Linked DNA regions of Macaca mulatta. The protein of the gene in region 5 interacts with the protein of the main gene of each other region in a pairwise test. Links are inferred from orthologs where the notes say so. Each region holds a gene or a part of one and is shown on either strand. Other genes may lie near its edges. The genes, in order: BYSL, LENG1, NXF1, FXR2, LDOC1, RAB29 and TASOR2.

The links.
Region 1: the proteins of LDOC1 (region 5) and BYSL interact in binary tests that used the Homo sapiens proteins (3 or more experiments, as listed by UniProt). The two-hybrid records come from large-scale screens. The link is inferred for Macaca mulatta from reciprocal best matches to the Homo sapiens genes LDOC1 and BYSL.
Region 2: the proteins of LDOC1 (region 5) and LENG1 interact in binary tests that used the Homo sapiens proteins (3 or more experiments, as listed by UniProt). The two-hybrid records come from large-scale screens. The link is inferred for Macaca mulatta from reciprocal best matches to the Homo sapiens genes LDOC1 and LENG1.
Region 3: the proteins of LDOC1 (region 5) and NXF1 interact in binary tests that used the Homo sapiens proteins (3 or more experiments, as listed by UniProt). The two-hybrid records come from large-scale screens. The link is inferred for Macaca mulatta from reciprocal best matches to the Homo sapiens genes LDOC1 and NXF1.
Region 4: the proteins of LDOC1 (region 5) and FXR2 interact in binary tests that used the Homo sapiens proteins (3 or more experiments, as listed by UniProt). The two-hybrid records come from large-scale screens. The link is inferred for Macaca mulatta from reciprocal best matches to the Homo sapiens genes LDOC1 and FXR2.
Region 6: the proteins of LDOC1 (region 5) and RAB29 interact in binary tests that used the Homo sapiens proteins (3 or more experiments, as listed by UniProt). The two-hybrid records come from large-scale screens. The link is inferred for Macaca mulatta from reciprocal best matches to the Homo sapiens genes LDOC1 and RAB29.
Region 7: the proteins of LDOC1 (region 5) and TASOR2 interact in binary tests that used the Homo sapiens proteins (3 or more experiments, as listed by UniProt). The two-hybrid records come from large-scale screens. The link is inferred for Macaca mulatta from reciprocal best matches to the Homo sapiens genes LDOC1 and TASOR2.

Annotation. Positions count from the first base shown.
Region 1 is NC_133409.1:140,243,419-140,247,144, reverse strand, and holds part of BYSL (bystin), read left to right. Parts: coding exon 1-24; intron 25-3,346; coding exon 3,347-3,485; intron 3,486-3,726. UniProt on the Homo sapiens protein: Required for processing of 20S pre-rRNA precursor and biogenesis of 40S ribosomal subunits. May be required for trophinin-dependent regulation of cell adhesion during implantation of human embryos.
Region 2 is NC_133424.1:66,391,105-66,395,526, forward strand, and holds the start of LENG1 (leukocyte receptor cluster member 1), read right to left. Parts: upstream 2,984-4,422; 5' UTR 2,961-2,983; coding exon 2,829-2,960; intron 1,715-2,828; coding exon 1,535-1,714; intron 275-1,534; coding exon 12-274; intron 1-11. Other genes in the region: voltage-gated chloride channel TMC4, read right to left, coding at 3,569-3,637, 3,730-3,808, 4,114-4,269, 4,366-4,422.
Region 3 is NC_133419.1:11,250,308-11,254,747, reverse strand, and holds the start of NXF1 (nuclear RNA export factor 1), read right to left. Parts: upstream 2,969-4,440; 5' UTR 2,883-2,968; coding exon 2,855-2,882; intron 1,512-2,854; coding exon 1,325-1,511; exon of another isoform or gene 1,294-1,324; intron 1,140-1,293; exon of another isoform or gene 1,105-1,139; coding exon 951-1,104; intron 1-950.
Region 4 is NC_133421.1:9,102,807-9,107,034, reverse strand, and holds the start of FXR2 (RNA-binding protein FXR2), read left to right. Parts: upstream 1-1,335; 5' UTR 1,336-1,485; coding exon 1,486-1,566; intron 1,567-1,899; exon of another isoform or gene 1,900-1,947; intron 1,948-4,228. UniProt on the Homo sapiens protein: mRNA-binding protein that acts as a regulator of mRNAs translation and/or stability, and which is required for adult hippocampal neurogenesis. Specifically binds to AU-rich elements (AREs) in the 3'-UTR of target mRNAs.
Region 5 is NC_133426.1:147,689,292-147,692,742, reverse strand, and holds LDOC1 (protein LDOC1), read right to left. Parts: upstream 1,899-3,451; 5' UTR 1,805-1,898; coding exon 1,364-1,804; 3' UTR 549-1,363; downstream 1-548. UniProt on the Homo sapiens protein: May have an important role in the development and/or progression of some cancers.
Region 6 is NC_133406.1:63,533,366-63,537,540, forward strand, and holds the start of RAB29 (ras-related protein Rab-7L1), read right to left. Parts: upstream 2,960-4,175; 5' UTR 2,930-2,959; exon of another isoform or gene 2,829-2,929; intron 2,649-2,828; exon of another isoform or gene 2,644-2,648; 5' UTR 2,526-2,643; coding exon 2,402-2,525; intron 2,106-2,401; exon of another isoform or gene 1,917-2,105; intron 202-1,916; exon of another isoform or gene 164-201; coding exon 92-163; intron 1-91. UniProt on the Homo sapiens protein: The small GTPases Rab are key regulators in vesicle trafficking. Essential for maintaining the integrity of the endosome-trans-Golgi network structure.
Region 7 is NC_133414.1:7,303,422-7,307,147, reverse strand, and holds part of TASOR2 (protein TASOR 2), read right to left. Parts: intron 716-3,726; coding exon 1-715.

The DNA.
Region 1 (3,726 bases), on a different chromosome or scaffold from region 5:
CATGAACAAGAACCCTCCTGCCAGGTAGGTCTGGGGATTTGGGATAATGGGTGCTTGTAGAAAGTTCCCACAGGAAAACAAGTTCCCTGGCAGACTTACGATTCCCTACTTTAGGAAAGGGCCCTGGAGTTGCTAGTTGTAGGGGACCACCTTGACAAAACTGGCCCATCCTCAGCAGACCACTGTGAGTGGGAATGACCCAGCCTCAGAAAACATTGTATCCTTCTGTCCATTTATTGTACAACTGCCCAGTTGCCAGGGAAACAGCTCCAGGCCCGTTTTATACTTCTGGGGAGAGCCATCCTATTGCATCTGGTTTTGGTATTCTTGGTTTTTTTAGTGGTAAGCTCAACTTCCTTGGACAAGTGTTCATATCCTAAGCTTCATTTAAGCCAGGGTTTTTCAACCTCAGCATTATTGACATTTTGGGCTGGGTAATTTTATATGTGTGTGGAGGCTATCCTGTGCAGTGTAGGATGTTTAGTAGATATCTCTGATCTCTACCTTCTAGGCTCCAGTAGCAACCTTCCCTCTAATTATGAAAACCAAAAATGACATCAAACGTTGCTAAATGTCCTCTGGGAGGCAAGACTGCTCCCAGTTAGGACCACTAATTTATTCCCATCTATAATAAATGCTGGCTCCAAAACATGCAGGCATTTAGACTGCCTGTGGTCAAACTCCTGAGCCCATAAATTTTGGCCGTGGGGAGTGGAGTCTAGGATAAGGGTCCTCAACCAGTTCATTCTGACCCTGTGATACTAACATAATGGTGTCCCTGATACTTTAGACTGTTTGGGGTTAATGCATCTCTCATTGCTAATTGTACTGTAAAAGGACAAGGAGGCTGATAAATTCTGTGGCAACTTATTTGAAAATGCAGAATGAAGAAATAAAAATGAGCTCCTCTCCCAGATTGATGCCTAACAGTTGAAATACGTGTCACAAAATACGTACTCGGGCCTGTCCCACCAGAGAGCCTCTCAGGTTCTCATTCAGCACCTCATAACTCCTACTTCACTGATAACGCTGACAAATTTAGCAGAATGCTTTTCCAGCTTGCAGTAAATAGAATAGACAAGCTCCTTGAAGTAATCAGAACTTCTGGCAGTTGTAAGAAATGATAGCTGGCGTCTTCAGAAAGCAAGCCTAGATCCACATGAATTCAACAATCAGAGGCCATTTAGTTTGGGGGCACATTATAAGGTACTATAAAGCATCTTAACTTAAGACTTTCAAAAACCTGAGTTTGACTCTTAACCCCACCTGACGGCTGTGAGGCCCAGTTGCCATGTCTGCGTAAGTTTCCATGTCCTATAAGTGTTGCACTGACTCTGGGACTGAAAAGTCCCAGACTCAGTGCCTGGCGTTGAGTAGGACCTCAGAAAAGAGGAGCAGTTTGTTTTTTGTTTTGTTTTGTGACAGGGTCTCACTCTGTAACCCACACTGGAGGGCAGTGGTGTGATCTCAGCTCACTGCAACCTCAACCTCTCGAGTAGCTGGGATTACAGGCGCACACCACCACGCCTGGCTACTTTTTGTTTTATTAGTAGAGACGGGGTTTCACCATGTTGGCCAGGCTGGTCTCAAACTCCTGACCTCACGTGATTCACCTCCCTCAGCCTCACAAAGTACAGAGATTATAAACACGAGCCACTGCACCCAACTGAGGAGCTTTAAATACATGTCAGTCTGGGCATGGTGGCCCAGACCTGTAATCTCAGCACTTTGGGATCCCAAGGCAGGAGCCCAGGAGTGTGAGACCAGCCTGGGCAACATGGGGAGACCCCATCTCTACAAAAGAATAAAATACGGCCGGGCGCGGTGGCTCAAGCCTGTAATCCCAGCACTTTGGGAGGCCGAGACGGGCGGATCACGAGGTCAGGAGATCGAGACCATCCTGGCTAACCCGGTGAAACCCCGTCTCTACTAAAAAATACAAAAAACTAGCCGGGCGAGGTGGCGGGCGCCTGCAGTCCCAGCTACTCGGGAGGCTGAGGCAGGAGAATGGCGTAAACCCGGGAGGCGGAGCTTGCAGTGAGCTGAGATCCGGCCACTGCACTCCAGCCTGGGTGACAGAGCGAGACTCCGTCTCAAAAAAAAAAAAAAAAAAAATACATGTCAGTCTGGGCATGGTGGCCCAGACCTGTAATCTCAGCACTTTGGGATCCCAAGGCAGGAGCCCAGGAGTGTGAGACCAGCCTGGGCAACATGGGGAGACCCCATCTCTACAAAAGAATAAAATACGGCCGGGCGCGGTGGCTCAAGCCTGTAATCCCAGCACTTTGGGAGGCCGAGACGGGCGGATCACGAGGTCAGGAGTTCGAGACCATCCTGCCTAACCCGGTGAAACCCCGTCTCTACTAAAAAGTACAAAAAAAAAAAACTAGCCGGGCGAGGTGGCGGGCGCCTGTAGTCCCGGCTACTCTGGAGGCTGAGGCAGGAGAATGGCGTAAAAACCCAGGAGGCAGAGCTTGCAGTGAGCTGAGATCCGGCCACTGCACTCCAGCCTGGGCGACACAGCGAGACTCCGTCTCAAAAAAAAAAAAAAAAAAAAAGAATAAAATACTAGCTGGGCCTTGTGCTATGTGCCTGTGGTCCCAGCTACTTGAGAGACTGAGGCAGGAAGATCGCTTGAGCCAGAGAGATAGAGGCTGCAGTGAGCCGTGATGGTACCACTGCATGCCAACCTGGGCAACAGAGCTAGACTCTGTCTCAAAAAAAAATAAATAAATACACTTCAGCAGCCTCTGAAGGCACTGGTATTATATGACAGCTCAAGGTGATAGTAATGCTGAATCATTAAGATAATGTTTGATATACCCAACAATACTCTGTTTAAGGAAGCTGAAAAGAACATAATCAGTTTTAGAAATACTTCCATAGATACACTGCTGTGTACTGACCGTTCCAAGTAATGAACAGACATTAACTTATTTAATCCTTCCATTAATCTTTTAAGGTGGGTACCGTTATTATCCCTATTTTACAAATGAGGAAACAGAGGCATAGAGAGGTAAAGTAACATGCCCAAGATCATACAGGGAGTGGGTAAGCCAGGATTTGAACCTGGGCAGACCGATTTCAGAATTGAGATTCATAATAACCTCCATACAACTGCCAGCTTTGTCCTAAATGGAATGACTTTCAGTTCCTTTGCACCCTGCAGTGATTCTGTCTGTGGTGGATGAATGGGCACAGAGAGGGAACTCTGAGCTGCGCATCCCAGCAGGATCGCAGTATGTCAGTGCTCACAAGGGACTGTGGGGAATCTGGAGCTTCCTGGACAGTGACCACAGTGCTCCTTCCTTCCTCTCTCCCCTCCCCTTGGCACTTCCCCTCTTAGGCGCACCTTGGCTGACATCATCATGGAGAAGCTGACTGAGAAGCAGACAGAGGTTGAGACAGTCATGTCAGAGGTGTCGGGCTTCCCTATGCCCCAGCTGGACCCCCGGGTCCTAGAAGTCTACAGGGGGGTCCGGGAGGTAAGAGCTGAGAGGGGAGCCACAGTGGAAGACCCCTTTGGGGGCTGTGGGCTCCCGCCACAGGCTTTTGCCTTTTGCCTGCATCTCATACTAAAGAAGTCATGGCAGTAGAAAACAGACCTAAGAGGCAGAGTGTGTGGTTTCAGATTCCTGCTCTGCCTGTAAATGACTTGGCAACCTTGGGTCAGTTACTGGAACTCTCACTGGTCATCTGTAAAACGAGCATAATAATGGCACCTCC
Region 2 (4,422 bases), on a different chromosome or scaffold from region 5:
TTCCTTCTTACTCCTTGGGTCGCAGCTTCTCAGACCCCTCCTTCTTTTCCTTTCTGCTGCAATTGCCTTCACCGCTGTGCCGTCTCTTCTTCCCCAGATGCTTCTGCATCTCCCGAAGAGGGTCCAGACGGCTCTTGATCTTCTCATCTGGGGCTGGGCCAGGAGGGGGCCCCCCTCGCTCTGGGGGTAGCTGGTACCAAGGGGGTTGAGTCTGTGCCTCCGCTGCACTCTGGCCCAGGTACGTCAGGATGCCCAGAGCTTTCTCTTGCCTCTCCTGAGGGGGCCAGGAAATACAAGAGATGGGATATAATCTTTCAAGGTGTCAGGTGTGTCTCCCTGACATAGGAATCTAAGCAAACAGGTACCTAAGGCTTGTCATGAACCAGTTGTACCAGGTGCTGGGGATGGAAGACACCAACAGAGGCCAAGTTCCCCGTGGGGGGACAGTGGCAGGTAACAGCAGGGGAAGGAGGGGACAAGTGGAGCCACTTGAGTGTTCAGAGGCAGGCATCTTTGCAGAGAGACTTGAAGAGAAGCCTGAAGGGATCAAGCAAAGCAGAGGAGCCATGGGTGGGGTCAGCAAGTCCAGAGACAGCAGGTGAGTGACAAGAGCTCATGTACCTGTTTTTTTTTGAGATGCAGTCTCGCTCTGTTGCCCAGGCTCGAGTGTAGTGGCACCATCTCGGCTCACTGCAACCTCTGCCTCCCAGGTTCAAGCAATCCTCCTGCCTCAGCCCCCCTAGTAGCTGGGATTACAGGCACGCACCACCATGCCCGGCTAATTTTTGTATTTTTAGTACAGACGGGGTTTTGCCATGTTTGGCCAGGCTGGTCTTGAACTCCTGACCTCAGGTGATCCATCCACCTTGGCCTCCCAATGTGCTGGGATTACAGGTGTGAGCCACCATGCACGACCAGACATACTTTTTACACTTGATCTTAGCCAAAAGGCAAGAGGCGAATGATTCGCCTTTTTTTTTTTTTCTCTTTTTTTTTTTGAGATGGGGTCTCGCTCTGTCACCTGGGCTGGAGTGCAGTGGCGCAATCTCAGCTCACTGCAACTTCCACCTCCCAGGTCAAGCGATTCTCCTGCTTCAGCCTCCAAGTAGCTGGATTACAGGCGTGCACCACCACACTTGGCTTATTTTTTTGTATTTTTAGAGATACCATGTTGACCAGGCTGGTCTTGAACTCCTGACCTCAGGTGATCCACCCGCCTCAGCCTCCCAAAGTGCTGGGATTACAGGCATGAGCCACAGCTGGCTGATTTACATTTTTAAAAGCCTATCAAGGTTTCAGACCCCTCCAGTTTTGAGAACTGAGCAGTTTGCCTAGCAGCTGGGGACCTCTAGCATCTACCTCCAAGCCCTGTGGGTGCCCAGATGGCAACACTTCTTAAGTGTCATGCTTTGGTATGGTTCTAAATTCTGTGTGTTCGTTCTCGTTTGACCTTGATCACAAGCAGTGGCTAAAGTGCCCTCTCCCCCCAACTCGATTCATGGCTCCTCTAATGAAGTGGGTGAGGCCAGCTTACTTTCTCCTGTCGCTTTTCTTCCTCGTACTCTTTATTGCCTCTGATCACTCCTTTCCCTTCCTCCAGCAGCTCCCGAAACAGGTCCACAGGGCCAGAACTTGGGGCTCCCGCCTCTGCTGCTTCAAGCTCAGGCAGTGAGTTCTGATGTCTGGCTTTCTTTCGTAGGAATTCTGTACGGGCCTGGGGAGAAAGTTATAGGCAGGGCATTCAGAACCTAGAGGTGATTCAAGAACTGTGAGTCTGGTGCCCACCACAGAAAATGGCAGTCCAGGGTGCTGGGGTTATAAGAAAGGGAGCACTAGACGCCTAAAAGAGGCACCTGTCCTAGCTGCGGGTGAGGGTAGGCAGATGAGGCAACGCCTGGGTTTTGTAAACTGCCTTTCAAATCGTAAACCACGGGTCATCAAGGATGGCTGGAAGGAGGTCCCTGGCCTAAACCAAAGGGGTTCCTAACCTCAAGTGAGACAATTAAAACAGCCATAAAGGTAGACCAAACTGCATTAGGCCAGACGATCTGAATTCTAGCCATGGCTCCAAGTCACTACCCCAAGTCGACTGCTGAAGCCCTGTCCCCCGCCTTCGGGACGCAGATTTCAAACAGCGCTCAGCAGCCTACTGAGATTCTAAAAACCCAGACTACCTCCCACCCACTGTGGAGGATCAGACTAGCTAAGGAACTGAAAGTTGGGTGTACACCAAACAGATTTAAGGAGCCATACAGAAAGCCCGTGTTTGTGTGTATGTGTCTAGGGGGCGGTGCAGGAAAGGGCTCGCCCGATGGCGTGGAGCCTGGCTGTCCCCCTCTCCTTAAATGTGCCTTCCCCTCACTGAAGCCATCTCACTCCGTGCAACGGAGATGACAGTGCCCCTCTAAGAACGAACAGTGCCTCCTGGGGATTCCGCAAGTCAGGCGCTCTGCATGTAGTTAGCATACAATAGGTGCTCAATAAATAAACTGCGCAGGCAAACTAAAACGTGATCCGAATTTCCTTGAACTGTCCAAGCGCTCATGTATTCATTAAATGTTTTTAAGCTGCTCTTTTGTGCTAGACACTGTTCCAGCCATGTGAAATACATCAGTGGGGGGAAACTAAGACGAAGGCGAGATCAAGGGAGGTTTCGTGGAAGTGGCCACAAGGTTTGCAGAGCAACGTCCTCGAAAACGGGATCGGCGCCTGGTCCCGAATTTCACACGGGGCACACTGAGCCTGCGCAACGCCTCCGCTTCCGGCCCCCAACCGCGGCGCGTGCGCGCTGGGCTCCGGCGGTCAGCCCGGCCGGCCTCCGAGCTTACCTCTTGCTGAGCCAGCAGCGCCCTCCGCTCACGCTCCTTCTCCTCCTCCCGGGCCTGGGCCTCGTCACGCCGCACGCGGGCGACATTGTCCTTATTCCGGACGTGCCAGCTCTTCTTGGGCAAGATATTCATGGCGTCGTAGCTGTCCAGGGACTGGCACGCCCGCCTCTTTGCACTTCCGATTGGCGAGAGGATGCCCCCCTTCCTCTTGTCCCTACTTCGACCGCAGATTGGTTCCGAATTAGTTGGTACGGCCCCCTGGCCTGTAACGACAGGTGATTGGCTGAGACGTCCTTTTCACAGCGAATGTTAGGCGTTCGGCTCGTGGTATCCCCTAGCAACCGCCTCTTATCACAGATCTGAACCAATCATAAGTTGGCCCGCCCCGATGCTACCACATGCGGCCGTCGATTGGTCGACATGACCGTCAAGTCTCCTTGCGGAAGTGCGCTCCGCACCGACAAACATGCCCATACATTTGATTGGCTCCTGCCCTGCGGTAGCCCTGCCCCCACCTTCAGGACGCAGATTTCAAAGCGCGCTCAGCAACCTCGGCTGTATTTATTGATACAAGAAAGATCACCCGAGAGTCAGGGACGTGGCGGCGAGGGGCCCTGGAAATCTCCAGATATCAAAGCTGGAAGGGCGTGGAGTCTTCTCCAGTTCTCCTAGTTTACAGATGTTGTGACCTAGGCTTACAATGGGCCTGGGGTCTGAAAGTGGGGCGTGAGCTGCGGGGGTCAAAGAGCCGGTTCGGTGGAGGTCAGCGCCACAGCGCGCCGTGCCAGGAAGACTTTATTCTGCGCCTCCTGCGGCAAAGAGAGGTGGAGGTGTGACAGCCCTCTTCCCCAGCCCCTCTCCGTGTTCCCCGGGGGCCCTCTCAGGGACCCGCCTGGCTCACCGTCTCCCTCTGACGTTTGAGCTCAGAGATGAGGCGTCCGTAGGAGTTAGCCCGAGCCACAGTGTACGCCATCAGGATGCTGGAGGAGACAGGAACGGAAGCCACTCCTGACACGCTCTTCGAAGTCAGGGATGTGGACCCCTAAGTCCCTCCTCGTCCAGGCTCAAGGAGTTCAGTCTCCCAGCACCTCCGCGTTCAGATCCAGGAGTCCTAAGTCCCGCCCACCTCCTCCTTCGGACCCAGCAGTCCAGGAGCCTAGGCCTCCTCCCTCAGACTCAGTACATTGCCTGCTCCCACCCCCAAGCCTTTCCTCTCTTGGACGCAGGTGGTGGCCCCCAGATCACACGCATTCAAACCCAGACCCAGAAGTCTGGTCCACCTCACCTGGAGATCAGCAGAAGGGGCGCAGCAAAAGCCTGGGTCCCCAGGAAGAAGAGGAAGTTCTGGGTGGTCTCAGGGAGGCTGGAAATAGACTCAGGGATCTGGGCCCAGATGGACGACTGCCCCCGGAATGGACCACACGGCTTAGAAGGCGGGATCCTGAAGTCAAGACAGGCTGGGTTCAAGTAGAGCCAGGAGTCTGAACACTGAATGGGGGGAGAGGGAGGGAGAGAGGCGGGAACCTCTCGCACTTACAGGAAGATGCTGTAAAGCAGGGGAACGCTGGAGATGGCCAGACCCAGGAGAAGAACC
Region 3 (4,440 bases), on a different chromosome or scaffold from region 5:
AAAAAAATCAATTTTTTTTATTCTAAAAGTTTCAAGATATTATTTACACCTTGCCTGTCCCTCAGAGAACTTCATGGACTCCAAGCCCCATACTCAGCCTGAGCCAAATGAAGACATCCAGAGGAATTACTCCTTCCACAACCACAGTTTTCGTATTTCTCTTCCACCCCTTCTCTGAACCTGCTCTAAGGTGTTGGAAGATACTGATTCCTAGGAGAAGAGACAGATACTTGACTATGGCGTAATCAGCTAACAAGAATAATTTTTGGGCTGGGCGCGCTGGCTCATGCCTATAATCCCAGCACTTTGGGAGGCCAAGGCGGGCGGATCACGAAGTCAGCAGTTCAAGACCAGCTTGGCCAATACAGTGAAACCTTGTCTCTACTAAAAATATAAAAATTAGCTGGGCGTGGTGGTGGGTGTCTGTAGTCCCAGCTACTCAGGAGGCTGAGGCAGAAGAATCGCTTGAACCCAGGAGGCGGAGGATGCAGTGAGCCGAGATCACGCCACCGCACTCCAGCCTGGATGACAGAGCAAGATTCCATTAAAAAAAAAAAAAAAAAAAGGCCGGGCGCGGTGGCTCAAGCCTGTAATCCCAGCACTTTGGGAGGCCGAGACGGGCGGATCACGAGGTCAGGAGATCCAGACCATCCTGGCTAACCCGGTGAAACCCCGTCTCTACTAAAAAATAAAAAAACTAGCCGGGCGTGGTGGCAGGTGCCTGTAGTCCCAGCTACTCGGGAGGCTGAGGCAGGAGAATGGCGTGAACCCCGGAGGCGGAGCTTGCAGTGAGCTGAGATCCGGCCACTGCATTCCAGCCTAGGCGACAGAGCGAGACTCCGTCTCGAAAAAAAAAAAAAGAATAATTTTTGTGGAATAAAATTAAACATCTCTACTCTGAGCGTGGCCTCCGATCTCTACTGTACCATCTACTTGCTCAAAGTACTCACTGTAATCTTGAACCAGTTCTTTGAGGTCCCATCCTGGCTGGTGCCAGCCCCTCCTCTCTCTGGAGGAGCTCTGTCTCTCCGCACAGTAACATGAATGCGATCTCGATCATGCCAAGTATCACCCCGACGGTTAGGTCGGGTGGTATAGGGGTTGCTGTGGGTAAACAGAGGATAAAATGACCACAAATGCTAGGAAAGTCTTCTCAAAGACCTTCCTGCACTGTGTTGGCGGGACTAAACTAAGACTGTTCAATCGCTAAGCTAGTCCTGGCATTTCTCACTATAACAGGTGGGAAGGAAAATGACATGGACAGTAAAAGGGCCATATAATCTCATGAGCCACTAAATTCAAACCAGACCAACTGGTCACTTACTATCGTACTCGGGGACCATCCTGGGCATCACTCATTGCCACATCTCCATCATCTTCCTCCAGGCGGGAAGACCGAATACCAGAACCGCCTCTTCCAGACCTACGGTTTCCTTCACCATATTTCCACCGGAAGGGACCCCGGCCTTTTTTCTTTCTTTGAGGGAAATTAACGCGTTCATCATCGTGTTCTGGAGTTAGAAACAGGAACACAAATTAGAAGTAACTGGTCCGGCTTGGTGTGGCAATCATAGTTTCTACTCTGAACTACTGGAAGAGATACATACTAACTACACAGGCCATCTCCATGCAAACTCCGCTGCCTGTCCACAGGAAAGAACTCTCTCTGTGGGAGGTCAGCATCAAGGAAAAGTTATTGGAAATCTGTGCAGGGCTTTTGAAAAATGAAGTAGAAACTGGAATTAGAAGCAGAATGTATAAATGTGAGACCCCAAAGTGTAAGTGAACACAAATCAGACCTCTGAAAGCCACCTGAAATCTGCCACTCAATACTTTGTCTATACAGTACAGATGCCAGTTACAAATATGATCAGTTTAAGGATCCTCTAAAAATTCTCCTTGTTCTCAAATTGCCACTTTGAAGTTTTCTGAGGAGCTCTTCGATTCCTTGGCCAGAAATGCCCTTTAACTCAGGAGACAATTTCTAGACTCAGGCTCTAGTGGTAGTGCCAGGCTAGGGTGCTTAACCAGGGACCCTGGAATGCTCTCCAGGAATATGATCTGATTCATGCTGTGCAGGACTAGCGTCTTAAAAAGGGTCCCTAACTCCCAAAAGAGATCTGCCTAATACCGAGCACTCTGTAAACAATGAATCTCAACAAATGACCCTAGGAAAAAAGAACACAGAAGGCGCAGCTAACATTCATTGAGAACTGTTCTCCAGTACCGGCCACTATGCTTCAGGCACTTGATAGGAATGATCTCATTTTCCCCCCTACTTCCCCCCCAACTCTTAAGAAATACTGTTGTTATTCCACTTTAAAGGGGTGGAAGAGGAGAGTTTTAAATTCACGGTTTCAACCTCCACCATGCACTCCTAACTACTACAAAGAACTAACACCCAGTGTAGTGTTCAGACTGGAACATCCAGTTGATGTGTAAGTCTCGAATATTAAGCCAAAGCCCAGGCCCGAGGGTTCAAGACCGACTGGACGCAGTAAAAAATAGGGCACCAGGGCAGCCCATGAGTAGGGCACTAACTCACATTAAAGGAAGAGTCAGGCCGCCAAACCGAACTGACAGGCATCAACCACCCACAAAGTTCAAAGGAATCCCGTCCCCCTACCCCCGAGCCACCCGCTCCGAGCCGCAGGTCCCCCAACACCAGGATTCCAGGAGGAATCCAGGAGTCAACAACTCGGTAATCCACCTCGAGTGCCCCCGACCCCCCGCGCGCCGCTCCCCGCGGACGTCGGGCCCCTGGCGGCCTCACGCCCCGGAGGCTGAGGCCTAGGCCGGCGCCGCCCACCCGCGCCCCAGATAGCCGGTTCCCGACCCGAGGACCAGCACTGACCGCTGTACGACTTCCCCTCGTCCGCCATGCCACAGCGAAGAGCAAGGGCGGGCTCAAGCGCTGGCCGCTACGCCGGCAAACGACCGAACGCCCAAGCACTCAGGACCGAAGTGTCCCTACGCCGGGCGCCACCGCATTTATATAGCAAAGCACGTCGCGCGCCGCTGACGTCCCAGGCTGGAGGCGGTGTCGCCGCCCGGAGAAAGCGCGACCCCCTGCGCGTGCGCACACTTAAGGCCGTCGTGCGAGGGGCGGGGCCTGACCCTCCGCGCCCCGCCCAAGACCTGAGCTTGCGGAACCCCGGCTGGTAGCCAGCAGGTCCCCGCATGTTTTCATCTGTCCGCTGACGCTGCCCTGGCAGCTTGAGTTAGTGCTAGAGCAGAGTGCTGCCGCTGCAGCCCAGAACTCAGCGGGGAACGGGGCCGTACCAAGGGCTTCCGAGGAATGGAGACCGCGCCTCCGGGTGGGAGTGATGGCTCAGACCCCTACCCGCATCTAGCCAGTGTGTCAGCTCGGCTCCTTGTCTATGCCTCGCTTTCTTCGCCTATAAGATGGATTAACAAATCACGAAGTTGAGAATTAGAATGTGAGCTCGAACGTTGACTAAAGGCTTTTTTTCCCTCGAGGGCTTGACTCGGCAGGTACTATGCCTGGCACATAGTAAAAATTCAACATGTATTTGTGAAATAAATGAATTTCTATTCTGTGAATTTCCCCCACCCCACCCTGAGTTGCTGAGTCAAATGAGACGACATCTGTCAGGGGTTTGCCGAGCATTGTCTTCACAGACCTTCCATCAATGGCGTCCCCTGTTAGAAACCCATCGTGTCAACGGGGCAGACAGTGAAGCTCACCAGCAGTGGCAACTTGCTGGAGATGCCGAGGAGGAGGACATTTTAAAATATCAGGGCCTTGGGCTCTCCTAGACCCCCAAAAGCACCACCATCAGCCCCTGATTGATTGTTGTCTCTATAGCTTCAGCTTCCTTTGGAATGTATGAGACAGGGGCACTGGAGCGTCCTCAGAATGTGGTTGCGAGTCTTGGTCAGGAAGAACAAAGCACATTAATCTCTCTGGACGGTGGGTATTTTGGGCAGGTGTTTCCTCCATTCTCTGTGACTGGCTTTGATTTGGTGAAGTGCTTTGAGGGAATCAAAAGCCTCAACTGGAGTTGGGAACAAATTCTTCACCTTCCACTCCTGGCAGCAGGCAGAGCTTCTGCCTTGCTTAGCTCAAGGAAGAATTACGGCCAAATAGTTGGAGGATACAGATGAAACAGGTCCAAACACTGTTTGAGATGGTCTTGGAAGCTGCCACCAATCAGGGACCCCCTCTGGGATCCTGCTTCTGTGTGAAAGGAAGTTTCCATGCTAATCAAGTGTTGCAACACTTGGTTCTCCCCTGTCTAGAGGCAGCTGTGTGTCAGAGCCCAAAATAGCCTGCCTCAGCAGTGATACCTGGCACAGCCATTAGCCCAACCCTTTCAGTTCTGGTACTGGGCAGTGGGCTCACTCCACTCGCTGCCTAGGCCCTTCGACGCTCCCACCCAGAAATGATGACATGGCTAGTGAGGCTGACAGTCTTGC
Region 4 (4,228 bases), on a different chromosome or scaffold from region 5:
TTGTATTTTTTAGTAGAGACGGGGTTTCACCGTGTTAGCCAGGATGGTCTCGATCTCCTGACGTCGTGATCCACCCGTCTCGGCCTCCCAAAGTGCTGGCATTACAGGCTTGAGCCACCGCGCCCGGTCTTATTCTACTATTCTTAAAACTTTCTTTCGTTTCTTTCTTTCTTTCTTTTTTTTTTTTTTTTTTTTTTTTTTGAGACGGAGTCTTGCTCTGTCGCCCAGGCTGGAGTGCAATGGCGCGATCTCGGCTCTCTGTAACTTCTACCTCCCAGGTTCAAGTGATTCTCCTGCCTCAGCCTCCCGAGTATCTGGGATTACAGGCGCGTGCTACCACGCCCGACTAATTTTTGTGTTTTATTAGATGCGGGGGTGGGGTGGTTCACCATATTGGCCACGCTGGTCTCGAACTCCTGACCTCAGGTGATCCGAGGACCTCAGGTGATCCACCCGCCTTGGCCTCCCAGAGTGCTGGCATTACAGGCGTGAGCCACCGCTCCTGGCCAAAACTTTCATTGTATCACAATCTCTTCAAGGCAAGAGCTATGACTTAAATCTACTACAGCACAGTTACAAATTCTTAAAAGATAGGCTATGCATGCGCGCAGACAGTAAAGCTCAGCGCGTGCGCACCGAGCACCTTTTTCCTTGCGGCGACTTCTCTTCTTTTTTTTTTTGGAGCGTGCGCACCAAGAAAGACAAAGGTGGGGAAAGTGACCAAGCAGTCGTTCAGGCGCATGCCCATCCCTAACTTGTCCGAGCCCGGTGGGGCAGGCGGCGGCGGCGTGGGTGTGGCCTGAGCGCTGTGTGACAGTGCGGCCGCCGCCCAATCGGACTGAGCGAGCCCGGCCCCTCCCTCCCTCTGATTGGTTGGTTCTCAGGGTTGTGGGGCGCGGAAAGGAAGAGACGGGGCTGCTGGGCGGTGGGGCGGTGGAGAAAGAAGGCTAATTTTGTTCTGCGCAAGCGCGAGAAAGCGACCAGGAGGGGGCGTGAGAGAGTGAAAGGGAATGTGGAAGCCCCGATGCGCTGGCTAGCGCTAGCTGGGGCTCTAACCTTGACGCCTGCGCCGTGGCCCTCGGGGCCCCGCGCGCAGCGGGCGGGTGCCCGGTGCGCCTGCGCAGTAGGAGGCGGTGGCAGGGGGAGGTGGAGGCTGTGGAGCGGCAGCGGCAGCAGCGGGTCCCGGGACTGAGGCAGCAGCGGGGGCGGCGGCAGGCGGAAGCTGAGGTGACGAAGGCAGCGGCGGCGGCGGCCGTTTCCCTCACGGTGGCGGAGACCAAGGCGGCGGCGGCGGACGGGGAGCGGCCCGGCCCCGGCCCCCTGCTCGTTGGCTGTGGCAGGGCCGCCGTGGGGCCGGCCCGGCTCCCGCCCCCCGCGGCTCCCCCTCCGGCTCCTCCTCCGGGGAGACGCCGGGGGCCTGGCCCGGCCCGCACTCAGACTGCTGCTGCAGCCGCCGCCGGGGGAGTCGGAGGCGGTGGCGGCGCCATGGGCGGCCTGGCCTCTGGGGGGGATGTGGAGCCGGGACTGCCCGTCGAGGTGCGCGGCTCCAACGGGGCCTTCTACAAGGTGAGACGGCGCGCCGACTGGGGACGCCGGTCCTTAGCCCCCTCCCCCGGCCGGAGCAGGAACGCGTGGGGCGGGATCGAGCTTCTGGAGCTGAGTCCTGGCCCTTAGAATCTTAGACCCTTGCTCCCACCCGCAGCCTTCCCTGAGAGACCTCTTGGAGTGAACCTGTTCCTTTTATTTTTGACCCCTTTAATGCACCTGCTTCTACCCCCATCTCAGGGAGAATGAACTTAAGGCCATTATTGTCCCTGGCTTGGCGCTCCCCGCTCCCCAGGAGAGACCCCTTTACCCAGCTTCTAATTGACTGTTTCCGTTGTCTGATGGAAGACATACCTTAGACCTTAATCACATCTTCCCCACGGTCCAGGCACATGGAGAATTGTCTTTCTTCTGCACGGTCCCCTTGGGAAGGCCCCCTCTGTCCCATATCGGATCCTTTCATCTTCCTCAGAGAGGCCTCTGCCTACTGACTCTGGAACACTCACCCCACTTTCAGCTTATATTCCGGTTCCCAAGCCAAGGAGAAATGGTCAGATCCATTTACGACGTTTGGCATCTTTGACCTCAGGAACCCTGGGTTGGATCAGTCAAGTTGCTTCTCAGCCAGCCATAAGGTGGCATCTTTCGCAAGTCTTTCACCCCACCACACCTTGATCTCAAGGCCCACTGGTTACCATTCTACTCAGAATGGATTTGAGGTCTCACTTAGACCTCAGATACCTTCAGGTCATTCTTAGAGTTTCTTCGTCTTGAGGCATGTGAGCTTCATAGTCATGATCTCTAAAAGGATCTCTAAAAGGAAGCTCATGGGGTTCCCTTCTGTTTTTCTTAAGATTTCCACTTCTTGAAGACTCTTGGCCAACTATCCCAGTTCGGGAATCTGACAACCTTTTTTGGAAGAAGGGATCATCTTTCAAAGACCTTTCCTTATTTGACCTCCCCCTTTGCCCAGGATTTGGTTCCTTAGAACTCCTTATAATACCACCTTCCTTATCTGCTCTGAATCCATTTTCTAGGACATTTTTTTCCCATTTGGATTAAGCCAGAGAGAACCCTTTCTTGCCTCCCAAGAGTTTTTCTTTGACTGTTGCTATTCTGAACCTCTTTTGGATTTGATGCCTGGAATTGTCCCAGAGACTCTCCTGATTTCTGTCTCATTCTTTGATTTCACCTTGGGGAGCTGTAGAAGAGATACCTTCCCATGGCATTACTTGTTAAGAGTAGATCCCCCTTCCCCCTTTCCTTCTGTTCCCCTCAGGCCTTTCCCCCCCACAGTAGCCCTCTCTAGTTTCTCATGCCCTTGGAAGTGTCTTTCTTTGACTCCTTCCCTAAGTCATATTTTCTGTAACTGTAGAGGGTCTTGTAATTTCCCTTGGGTGGTTTCTGCCTCTACTTCAGTTGCTAAGTTCATTGTAGTCTTTTTTTTTTTTTGAGACGGAGTCTGGCTCTGTCACCCAGGCTGGAGTGCAGTGGCACGATCTGGGCTCACTGCAAGCTCCGCCTCCCAGGTTTACACCATTCTCCTGTCTCAGCCTCCTGAGTAGCTGGGACTACAGGCACACACCACCACGCCCGGCTAGTTTTTTGTATTTTTAGTAGAGACGAGGTTTCACCGTGTTAGCCAGGATGGTCTTGATCTCCTGACCTTGTGATCTGCCCGCCTCAGCCTCCCAAAGTGCTGGGATTACAGGCGTGAGCCACCGCGCCATTGTAGTCATTTTTTACTTACTCTTCATACTTACCCATTTTTGCCTTACTTCCCTCATCAGATTTCTTTCTGTGCGGTGACTTTGGGTACCCATGTCTAACTTACTGTTTCAATTCAAGTTTTTGGCTTTTTCTCCTAATACTTCTGTATTCCTGTGTAATCCCCAGGGATCACCTAATTCCCTGTCTAGCTGAAGGAAGCTCCCTGCTGATCTCTTTTGTCATTTTCTGCATACTTGCCTAACTCTTGGGACTTTTTCTTCTAGCCTGCCTCCATAGCATTTCTGTTTTTTTTGGCAAAAGTCTCTAATTCCTTTCTGCTTTTGATAGAGCACATTTGTCTCTCATATCCTTTTCCCCAAACTTGTACTACCTTTGTTGAAATACGCTTCCTAAAGTGGCCCTCCCTGTTTCCCTCGGTATCTTTTCCTTCATCTGGGTCCTTACCACCCCAAAATTCTGAGTTCCAAGAAAAGTCATTCTTAAGTTGAGTCCAAGATCAAGATATGATGTTTGCTTTGTTCTAGGAAGCACAGGAGCCCTGCACAGCTGGGAAAGATTGGTATCCAGTTCAAATGAACTGTATGAGATGGCTGGGAAGGGACACGTTTTCTGTTCTACATATAAGTGTCCAGCAGAAAGTCTCTCTGAATCTTTTCCCTTTCTCCTGTGCGCTGTGGGCAATGATAGACTTGAGTACATCGGGACCAGGATACTCTGATTCAGAGAGTAGAGTCTGGGGTTGAGCTGAAAGCCAGGTAATGTGGTAATGTGGATCTGGGCAGGTTAGCATTTTCTGCCCCGTTCCTGAGTTAAAAACCACAAATCCCTAAATTCAGGCTAATCTTCCACTCTCAGTACCCTATAGATACTTATCCGTTTTGACCTTGCTGCTGATTTAATATTCATGACTCAGCAAACTTGGGATGGGTCAGGGAGTATTTACACTGCTTCT
Region 5 (3,451 bases):
TTATGGATGCACTTGCCCAGGATCTGGGACTTAATGTTAGCTAGAGCACCTGTAAGTGACATGTTGGCTATTTGGAGTTTGAAAGTGACAATGTACTATGTTGGCTCTCTGGAGCCTGAACTCAACAGCTGCATATAGGCAATAAGGATTAAGGGGCAGAACTTCCCTGGCACAATATTAAGGAATCCAAAAGCTCAGAGAATTAGGAGCAATACATATATATGTCCTGGTTTATGCCTGTTGTTACGGTCTAATTATTAATACTGCCCTCTTTGCCATCTGCTCAGCCAACCCTTACCCATGCCACCCTGGAGGACCCAGAGAACACACCCTTTGCCAGGGCTTTAAGAAATGCGTTGGTGAAGGAAGCATCAGAACCCTGACAAAGCCCTGAGGTAGCTGTCCCCAGCAGCCTGGAGTTGACAGCAGGGATTCCTAGGATTGGTTGTATTCCCTGATTTCCATGGGAATAACGGTAGTCACAGTGACAGTTCTAGAGGTCAGTGATAGCACTTAACTATTAAAAGACAATCATTTCGTTTTTTAGTGCTTGATATTTATTGAAAATAATGCCAATGCTTTTTCCAGGTAGTATTGAGGAGCTGGGCTGAGTGCTTGTTTGTTTTGTTTTTAGTACTATTTGTCCAAATGCATACATCTGTGGGACTGCTGCAATTTTGAAAGAAAAATGACAGCTGTGTAAAACCAGTGCATAGGAAAAAAGAAATATCAACAATTTGGCTGTCAGGCACACCGCGCCCCTGCAGCAATCTGGTATGGCAGGGGAGGACACTCGGAGTAGGTAGAAAACTAACCAGGCTGAATGACTGGCCTCTTCAGGGGTTGGTGAGCTGTCCAAATCAATGTCCGAAGAGGCAGAGCCAACTCTGGCATTTTCCAGGTTGGTCCTGATCTCGAAAGGCGGTAGTCTGTAGGTGGGATGTGGTGAGTGGATGTGAAGTGGCAGCATAGTTCTCTGGGCAGATGTAAGCCTGGCAGCAGGGCAGGTGGCAGCAGCAGGGCTATGGGTGGTCTGCGCAGTTTGTAACAGGGGCCTGGCCAATAGCTGGGGTTCAGGACACAGTTCAGATTAGCAGGGGAGGGATCCCCGGGATGGCCAGGGTAGATGACACTTCCAAGCACTTCCGAGTGAGTGAGGCTCCAGCCCCAACCCCAGCAGCAGGTAACTGGAGCACTATTCCTGGAACAAAGACAAGCACTACGGAGAAATGAAGAAAGAGCAGACGGGCGCGGGTAGGGAAGGGGACCGGAGGGCAAGGGGGAGAGCACTGGCTCCTGGCGGGGTGAGGGCTGCGGGGAGGGGGTGACGGCGTGCAGGGCCCTCCCCCCGAGGCCCGAGGGCCTAGTAATTATCCTCTTCGTCCTCGTCGTCGTCGTCTTCGTCGTCATCCCAGCCAAAGCACTGTTTCATCTCATCGAGGAAGGCTCGGTAATCACCTAGGATGGGGCTATCCATCTCGATGTAGGGCACCACCCACTCCTCGGCTTCCCCGGTGAGGAGACTGATTAGGAATGCCACCTTCATGGCGTCGTTGCAGAATCGGTTCTCGTTCACGAGCATGTAAGACGCTGTCTGCACGATAAACTCAGGGAGCCGGGAGCTCTCGCCATTAAACGTTTCGGGGAAGGGCACCGGGCAGCTCGGCGGACGTACCTGGCGCAGCAGGCTGGCCCTCTCGCACACCAGCAGCCGCAGCTGTTCCATGAGCTGGCTGTTCTCGATGGTCAGGGCGCGGTGCCGCATCAGGAGCGCGTGCAGCAGCAGCACCAGCTCATCCACCATTGCGAACAGCCTGGAAGGACAGGGCTCGGCTCGGTTCGGCTCGGCCAAGGTGCGCACGGAGGCCTCGCAGGAAGTGCGTGTCCACGGAGACGCTCGATGGCCAGGGGCTGGGGGCGGGGGGCGGTGCGCGCCGGGGTCCGGGAGGCTACGCAAGCTCCGCCCACGAGGCCATTCGGACGGATGGTGCGCCGGCGCGGCGCGGGAGGGGCGTGGCCAGACTGGCGGCCGCGGCTGCGTGGGGGCGTGGCCGGGATGGGAAGGGTTTAGACAAAGAGGGCGTGGCCAGGAAAAGGATGCATTGGGTCGCTGAACCACCGGCTTGTGGTAGGTCTCTAGGCGGGCAGTTAAAGGCTGGGGTAGGCTCCCCTAGCTCCTGGTTGTGGGGCCTGCGTTAGCAGAGGACCTGGCGAGCGCTGAGTTTGGTCTCAGAGAAGGCAAATTTGTTCAAACTGAAAGGATTAGCCACCCTTCTACCTAGGCAACTCTCACAACTCAGTTGTTCCTTCGTGGGTCTGTGGCCACTAGATTCTCTTGGCGTGATGTTTTATTAACACATTTTCTTTCTTGTTTAAATCTCACTCAGAGAAGTATTGACACTGCTGGCTGCACTGTGGGACTCACACTTCCTTTTAGGATCATGAAGACCTTCAGGGGTTCCTGCCTTTCATGAAAAAGGCAGTATTTAAACAGTGACTTCTTTAGTAGGGGAATAATATGGCATACTCCCTTAAAACAAACAAACAAAAAAAAACAAACCTAAGTAGCAGGATATAAAGAAGTTTTGCAAAATCAGCATCCAATAATCAATTGCAGGCATCCCACATATCTTTGATTCTCTATTTCTTGTCCTGCTATTAGTGCCTTTGGCCACTGGGTTTTATTCTGTACTTAAAAATGAACTGTTAAGATGTTTGTGTTTTTAAATAATTTTGTTTTTCTACTTTAAACGGATCCCTAGAGCCGACAGGAATTGTTGGCTCTGCTTTCAAATATATTGCCAATTCAGTCATGACTTGTCATTTCTACCACTGCCACCCTGATCCCCAGCCTTTCTCACCCAGACTGCTGCAACTAATCACTTAGCTTTCACTCTTTTCTTCCTATAGTATATTCTCCATAGAGTAGCCACAGGAATCGGGCGCGGTGGCTCACTCCTGTAATCCTAGCACTTTGGGTGGCCAAGGAGGGCGGATCACGAGTCAGGAGATCGAGATCATCCTGGCTAACAGGGTGAAACCCTGTCTCTACTAAAAATACAAAATATTAGCGGGGCGTGGTGGCAGGTGCCTGTAGTTCCAGCTACTCAGGAGGCTAAGGCAGGAGAATCGCTTGAACCCGGGAGGCGGAGGTGGCAGTGAGCCGAGATAGCGCCAGCGCACTCCTCCAGCCTTGGTTACCAAGCGAGACTCCATCTCTAAAAAAAAAAACAAAAACAAACAAACAAACAAACAAAAAACAGTTAGATCCCTTCACGCCCCTGCTCAAAATCCTCCAGTAGTTTCACCTCAGAATAAAGAGCAAAGTTGCAGCCAAGGCCTACAAGGCCCCTCCTTCTATCCTGTGCCTCTTCCCATTTTCTGCTGTGCTCTCATCACTGTCTTCCTTGCTGATTCTCACACCCATCAAGCAGTTCTGGCTTCATAGCCT
Region 6 (4,175 bases), on a different chromosome or scaffold from region 5:
TGGCTTTGCTGCCCCATTTTTTTTTTTCCTCAGATTTTCCTGGTTAAATCAAAATTTCTTCCCTCGTTCCTATCCAGCCCTCCCACTTTACCTGCAATATCCCACAGCTGAAGTCGCACTATCTCGGAGTCAGACCACTGGAGAACCTTCAGAGCAAAATCCACTGAAAATATATGTACATTATACCTTAATAAAATTTCACTGTAAAAAATGAATAGGGATAAACTCAAATCAAATAGGCAGTGACAACCCGATGGACACACAACTCGAATCCCATGTTTATCTTTAAGCCCTCAATTCACTGAGATGAGTCCACACGTGTGTATTAAGTGTGAGATGGATGGTTCATACTCACTCTCCAAAGGGGTTTCCAGCTTTTACTCTCCTGTCAAGCTCATCTGTTTGCTACTACTTGTCTCCAAGACTGGGGGTGGGAGTAACTATGAAAACAACTCTCATTCTCAGGTTAAACAGTTTCTGGGAGATTTAGGGGGTTTTCTCAGGGAAGGGGTGATGGGGGAGAAGGGGGAAATGAGACAAGTGTGGTTGTTTCTGTATCTTCCACATTCAATTTCACTGCTGGTTTCTAATCAAATTGTATTATGAAAACAACACACCCTGGGGAACTCTACATCCACCATAAGGTTGCAGGTATTATCTTGGGCAAGAATGGAATAAACGGAAAAGGTCCCAGAGGAGTCCCAAGAAGACACTGTGTGGATGTTGCTGAAGAGTCCTGCTGGAATCTACCACAAAGTCTGCAGATGCTGAGACTCCTTAAGGCTAAGTATTCCATGGGGAAAAGCTTTTGGCTAAGGAGAGAAACACAGTAATTTCTGAGGTTTGGAAATATTATCTTTCACATCTGTAACAGGAATCAAAACTAAGGGAAATTTAGACTAAACACTGAAAAAAAAATTAGCCAGAGTCAATTATATTCTTTGCTAAAGGAAAACTACAGCAATTGTTAAAAATTAACTATTAATAGAAGGCCAATTTTAACCCAAATCCGTGAAATAGGGACCCTTATATTATTTAGGAGTGGAAGGGCAGAGAGGTCAGGATAGTGTGTCTGAAACTTTGAACCTTTAATTTTGCCAGACTTTAATGTTTTGTTCCTTTGTTTTTGAGACAGGGTCTCACTCTGTTGCCCAGGCTACAGTGCAGTGAGTGGTGCGAACGGGGCTTACTGAAGCTTCGACCTCCTGAGTTCAAGCAATCCTCTAGTCTGAGTTTCCGGAGTAGCTGGAACCACGGCTACTTTTTTCTTTAATTTTTGTAGAGGTGGGGTCTTGCCATGTTTCCAATGGCTGCTCTCGAACTCCTGGGCTCAAGCAATCCTCCTGCCTCAGCCTCCTAAAGTGCTGGGATTGCAAGTATGAACCACTGCACTGGGCCCTACTGGGGGTTCTTAAGGAGAATGTTTTAATTGCAATGTGAATGCTTAATTTCTTTTTAAACTTCCGTATGAACAGGAGCACACATTTTCACTTTTTCCATTGGTACGTTTTTCTCCCCTTAAAACAAGTTCTTTTAAGAGAGAAAATTTTAAGTTACTCTCCCCCATCACCAGCTCTTCCTAAATACCTTCTAATTAACAATAAGGCATTTCTACCTCTGAAAAAATAGTTGAGTAAAAAAGCCATACCCGGGAAAGAAAGGAATGAACTCAGTGTTCTCTTCCTCCCTACCTTCTTCAGTTTGAGGAAAAAGTGGTGGGAAGATAGGTCAGAGAAGTGGTATATTTCACATTCTTCGAAGAATTCCTTGGTTACTTTTATTTAAGCAATCAACGGACAAAAACACAGCTCATCAGCCCTCATGGGCATCTGACTGCGTAGCCAAGGGGCTCGTTTGGGGATTTTGTGTCTTCCATCCCACCCACAGCCCCACAACAAAGCTAGAGTCCTTCAGACCAGTTCCGCTTCCTGCGTTCTCCCACTGAAGCCAGGTTAAACACCTTGCGGTTCCTTCCTCAACAGAGGTGCAGAACTACAGCCCCAGCCGGCACCTAACCAGGAGGCCCCCAGAGGATCTCAGCTGCTTCTGCTGATTGGAGAGATGCCAGACAGCTGAAAGGCTGGAGACTTGAGTTCACAGTGCGCCTGCAATAAACAGCAATTGCTTATCCTCATCCTCCCTTCCCTATTTCTCATCTTCACGCCTTTGTTCTTACCGTTCTCCTGGCAGTGGGGTCAGGTTGGGAAAAATCTAACTGGGGAAACTCAAGAGAGGCGTGTAAACGAAACACCCGGCAATTACACCATCTAGGTTCCCAGACAGTACTTCCTGACCCGAAGAAGGACCCAACAACCGACAGCAAATCCGGATCCCACTTGGGTCCCCAGCTCGAGTCCGCGGTCGAGGCCTCCTCCTCCCCCTCCCCCGAAAGACGTCTCACCTCCCACCGTGGACTTGTAGTGTTTGCTGAAGCTGTCCTGGGAATATCGCTGCACCAGCGACGTCTTGCCCACTGCGGCGTCCCCCACCACCAGAACTTTGAACAGGTGGTCGCGGCTGCCCATGGCTAGCGGGGCGTGCGTTTTAGGGAGGCGGGAAGTGGGGGAGTCGCTTGTTTTAACCCCTTTGGCTCCGGACCCTCTTCAAACTGAAGTGGGCATTCCCACCCACCGCCTGTGTGGGCTGCTCTGACGAGAAAGCAAAAAAGGAAACTTTGCACTCAACCTATACGTGCTTCCTCCCCCGGCGGCCGCAACCTGGGTGGGGCGCAGGGCGCAAGCTCCGAGCCCCCGGCTGTTCGCACCTTCCCCACCCCCTCCTGGCCTGACTGCCGAGAAACGGGACCAGGCGCCTCGGAACCTCCCCACCAGGACTTTCCCGGAGCGGCTGCGAGTCAGTGACTGAATCCCAGTCAGCTCATTACACCACTGGGGCCAGATGATGAGGACCCTCCCCTTGCAGCACATACCAAATTGTCAGGAAGGAGCAGCCGGTACCTTTCTATTCCCTAGACGTCGTCCCGCGCCTCTCTCTAGCCTTCCTCCGCCAGCGTCACGTGCAGGGTTGCCTGGAGCACTACATTCCCCAGCTTTCCTCGCGGTAAAGAGAACCAGCCGAGTGCGGAGGCTCACCCGCGAAGCCTCCTGGGAAATGTAGTGTATTCTTTTTTTCGTTTTAAGCCAACCTACACAAAGTTTCAAGGCTTCAAAACTCCTTCAACAGTTCGGAATCTTATTCTGAAACAATTCTGGGTCAGTTAAGATCACTTAAGAGGAGATTTGTGCAACGTGATCTCACTGGCCTGAATCCATCCCCACATAGTCTTCTCCTGTCTTTAAAGGTTTAACGGAGTTAAGATTAAAACTTATTTCGTTAGTAAAAGTCCAAGCCTCATCCATAATGCTCCAAGTGAAGTCCATTTCCTATTCCTTCAAATAGATAGACAAGCCCAGGACTTTGTGAAATGACTCATATTTTCTGTATGAACTTGCCCAATACCAGGCAAGTTCAGGAAAACTTGACCCAAGAGACCATTCTTTGGAAAAAACATATGCCAAAAGTTACAGCATTTAATATCCAGCAATAACAATAAAGATAGACAGAAAACAAGAGACAGTTCCCCATTCATACTTCTGCAATGCCTATTCTAACCATACTACTCATGTATCACTTGAGGTAGAGGCTAATTGAAATACACTGGGAATCCTTCTCGATTCATTGTGGCTGTTGTTAATAGATAATCATAAAACTAGTGTTTGGCAAATAATTTTAATTTTTCAGCCTGAAACTTTACTGACCTGCCTGTCACTTAGGTAGGAGTTGGCAGGACATGAGCTCAATGGCAAGCAAAGAGAGCTCCATTTTCTAGACTTTTTCTAGAAACAGAAGAAAAGAACCAGCAGGACCATGGGAAAACAGCCCAGGACCAGACACTATGAAATCTTACCTAGGTCTCTTGATAGAGAGGCTATCACTTATGTTTTGTGGGGAAAGAACATCAGCGTGGTTCACAATATATTTTGCCCAGAATGTTTGTTACTCAGGTACAGGAGGTTAGGCCAGGCTACTCATCTTTAAGGATCCAATTTTCTCTGTTCCTATTCGTTTTGACATATTTGACCACTCCTTGACATTTGTTTCCCTTATGCCTTCTATGACACTGCTCTTTCTTTGTCATCCCCCTACTTCTCCGATGATTATCCTTTTCTTTCAGG
Region 7 (3,726 bases), on a different chromosome or scaffold from region 5:
GTAATGAGACTGGAAGAGGCATCTCTTTCTGTAATGAACACACTTCTTTATCAAGCGTCTCTCTACCTACTGAGGAGGCACAAAGGTACTTAGAGCCTTTCTGTCCTGCAACTACTAGAGAGGAAATGTCCCTCAGGCCTTGTGTTTGTGCCTTTTCCGAGGTGGATACAGGATGTCTAAGGCTTGCAGCAGGTGATACTTGCTTAATCAACTCCTTATTAAAGGTTGTAGGTTCATCAGCTGTATTTACAGCTTCTGTCTGTAATGGTACATGTGTATTTTTTTCAAATATGAGAGTAACTGGTTCTGGATTAATCATTGCACACTCCATATTATCATCCTTTCTTTCCAAGGAAGGGTGACATTCATTGTTTATGGGGCTGCCATGTTGGATAAGGTCCTGTAAAGTACCTGTTTTTGTTTGCATTGCTGCATCAGGAACATCCACTTTGTTTTCAAGGGTGCTACACACAGAGCTCTGACATATCACTGGCTGACTACCAGTCCCATCATAAGTCCTGGTGAATGTGGTTTGAGTAACAGTGCCACTGTAAGAAGCCACTCTTGTGCTATCCAGTGGCTGAACAATTTCTTCTTCATTAGGAACAGAGGGTCCATTAGTTCGTGTACTTCCAACACCAGAAAGCGCAAGATTAGAAGTCTCCAGTTTATCTAATGATTCTTGTTTAGCTTCTTCCCCCATTACCTGAAATGGCTAAAGTAAAAAAACAAAAAAAATCAGTCACATAAAATGTTTTTTATACAATTATATGTACATGTGAAGCACAGAAAAGATAAAAATTAATTTTAGTTTGTGAATGTTCTTTTGAATTTTCTAGCTGAAAATATCGCAGGGTACAAATCAAGCAAATCCCTCTTTTAAAGGCAGGCTTAAAATACCCCCAATGGGATTTGTTTTCTTTAAAACCATACACAGAGGAGAACTCCAAAACTTTCTAAACTTTGAAGCTTTTTTCTCTTTTTAAATGAGCTTTTTGGAAGAAAAATAGCTAGACTACTGACAATTTAAGACTTTAAATGCAGCCTGTTTGCTACTTAGCACCACTTAATCCAGAAGTATAGCACTAGAGAAAAAGCATTCAATTTTGTTTTTAATAAATTAGATTATTTTTATTTTTATTTTTTTTAAGACAGGGTCTTGCTTTATCACCCAGGCTGGAGTACAGTGGAGTGATCTCGGCTCACTGCAACCTCTGCCTCCCGGGTTCAAGTGACTCTCTGCCTCAGCCTCCTGAGTAGCTGGGATTACAGGTGCATGCCATCATACCCAGCTAATTTTTGTATTTTCAGTAGAGATGAGGTTTAGCCATGTTGGCCAGGCTGGACTCAAACTCCTGACCTCAAGTGATCCACCCACCTCAGTCTCCCAAAGTGCTGGGTTACAGGTGTGAGCCACCGTGCCCAGCCTAAAAGATAATTTTTAAAAAGCAAAGAATAACATTTTTAACATCCGTTTTCAATTAGACCATAAGTACACTATCATCTGAAACTTTCCCATGAGGCAACACAGTAAATTAATCACTATCCCCTGTACTCAGAATACATTGATTCTAGTAAATAAAGGCCCCTCATCCCTTAGCTATCTTTTTTTGCATAAAACTGGGGATACTTTCTTTCTCATCTTAATACCTCCTATTGTACAGGGCAATTGAAAACTTATCAATGTGGTTTGCATTCATAAACTGAACTAAAAGGAGCTGATTTAAACAGTAGCAAGCAGGATTTAGGTTAAACATTAGCAGAGCTATCATCTCAGGACAGTTCTGATAACCTCATAAACAGGTTGGTGTTTGTTTTTTTGTTTTATTTAAAGCCTCAAGCATGGTCTTGTCCAGCATATGATAAAATGAACTGATGATACAACTGATCATACCTCTGCAATGCTGGAAACACCATGCTTATAAACTGCCTGCCACGTCTTGAAGCGTACATGTTGGAAATCAGGAACTGTGTTCAAAATCTCTTGTTAAAAACATTTCTGTCTTAGGTAGGGCATGGCCTCTCACACCTGTAATCTCAGAACTTTGGCAGGCTGTGGCAGGCGGGTCACTTTAGGCCAGAAGTTCAAGACCAGCCTGGCCAACATGGTGAAGCCTAGTCTCTATTAAAAATATAAAAATTACCCAGGTGTGGTGTCATGCGCCTATAATCCCAGCTACTCGGGAGGCTGAGGCAGAGAGTCACTTGAACCCGGGAGGCAGAGGCTACAGTCTCAAAAAAAACCAAACCAAACCAACAAACCCATCTCTGGCCGGGGCAGTGGCTCATGAGATTCTGTCTCAAACAAAACAAAACAAAACAAAACAAAACAAACAAACAGTTTCTGGCCGAGGCAGTGGCTCACGCCTGTAATCCCAGCACTTTGGGAGGCCGAGGCAGGTGGATTGCCTGAGGTCAGGAGTTCCAGACCAGCCTGGCCAACATGGGAAAACCCCGTCTCTACTAAAAATACAAAAATTAGCTGGGTGTGGTGGTGCATACCTGTAGTCCCAGCTACTTGGGAGGCTGAGGCAGGAGAATCACATGAGCCCGGAAGGCAGAGGCTGCAGTGAGCCGAGATCACACCACTGCATTCCAGCCTGGGCGACAGAGACACCATCTCAAAACAAAACAAAATCTCAGTCCTGTAATCTCAGCACTTTGGGAGGCCGAGGTGGGCAGATCACCTGAGGTCATGAGTTCGAGACCAGCCTGGCCAACATGGTGAAACCCCGTCTCTACTAAAAATACAAAAATTAGCCAGGTGTGGTGGCAGGCGCCTGAAATCCCAGCTACTTGGGAGGCTGAGGCAGGAGTGATTTAATCAGCTGAACCCGGGAGGCAGAGGTTGCAGTGAGCCAAGATAGTGCCACTGCGCTTCAGCCTGGGGGATGAGTCAAGACTTCTTCCCAAAACAAAACAAAAAAACAGAGTCAGAGTCAGCAGCGTGGGGCTGAGACACCAGAGTTTTAAGAGAACAAAGTATTAGAAAAGTCTTGATAGTCAGTGTCCTTCTGAGAACTTTAATGGCCCTCCCAATCATGTGGCTGGTAACGTTTAGCCTCAGTCCTAAATCTCACCATGACTGTACTCTTAGTGAAATGCAAATCGTGACAATCTTGATATATTTATATTTCGATATATTTTTACTGCAGGTAAAGTGTAATGCTTCTAAAATAAAGTCTGATAATTCAGAAAGAGTGCTCAACTAAACACATGACTAGCAGCAACATGCTCTTGGTTTCTAGTGGCTATCATGCCAGAATCCCCTTCACATTCCGGTGTGCCAACTGGTGGAGGGAGTGTGATAGCATACTTGTGTGCCTTTCAAGTACAGGCACAGCATTCAATGAGATGACAAAAAACCAAAACCTATGTAAGTACATACTAAGGAGATTGTTAGGAATCATTGATTTGAACAGTCAGGCTTGCCAAAGTCATTGCTAAAATTAGTACTGATGATAGTTAATTATATATTACCACAACAAATGGTATTTTATAAGAAACTAGCATGTATATACGTTTTAATCTAAACCTCCCTGATTAAACTATATTTTCTTATTCTAAGGTGGTGATTCTTAACTGGATTTTACGTAATTCTTTGAGAACAGGATGGAACTGCTGAACCCTATCTTTAGGGAAAAAAAGCACATACATAGTTAACGTTTAGGTTTTCTAGACTGGAATCTTGGCTTGACAATTTTCTATGTGACCTTAGGCAATTTC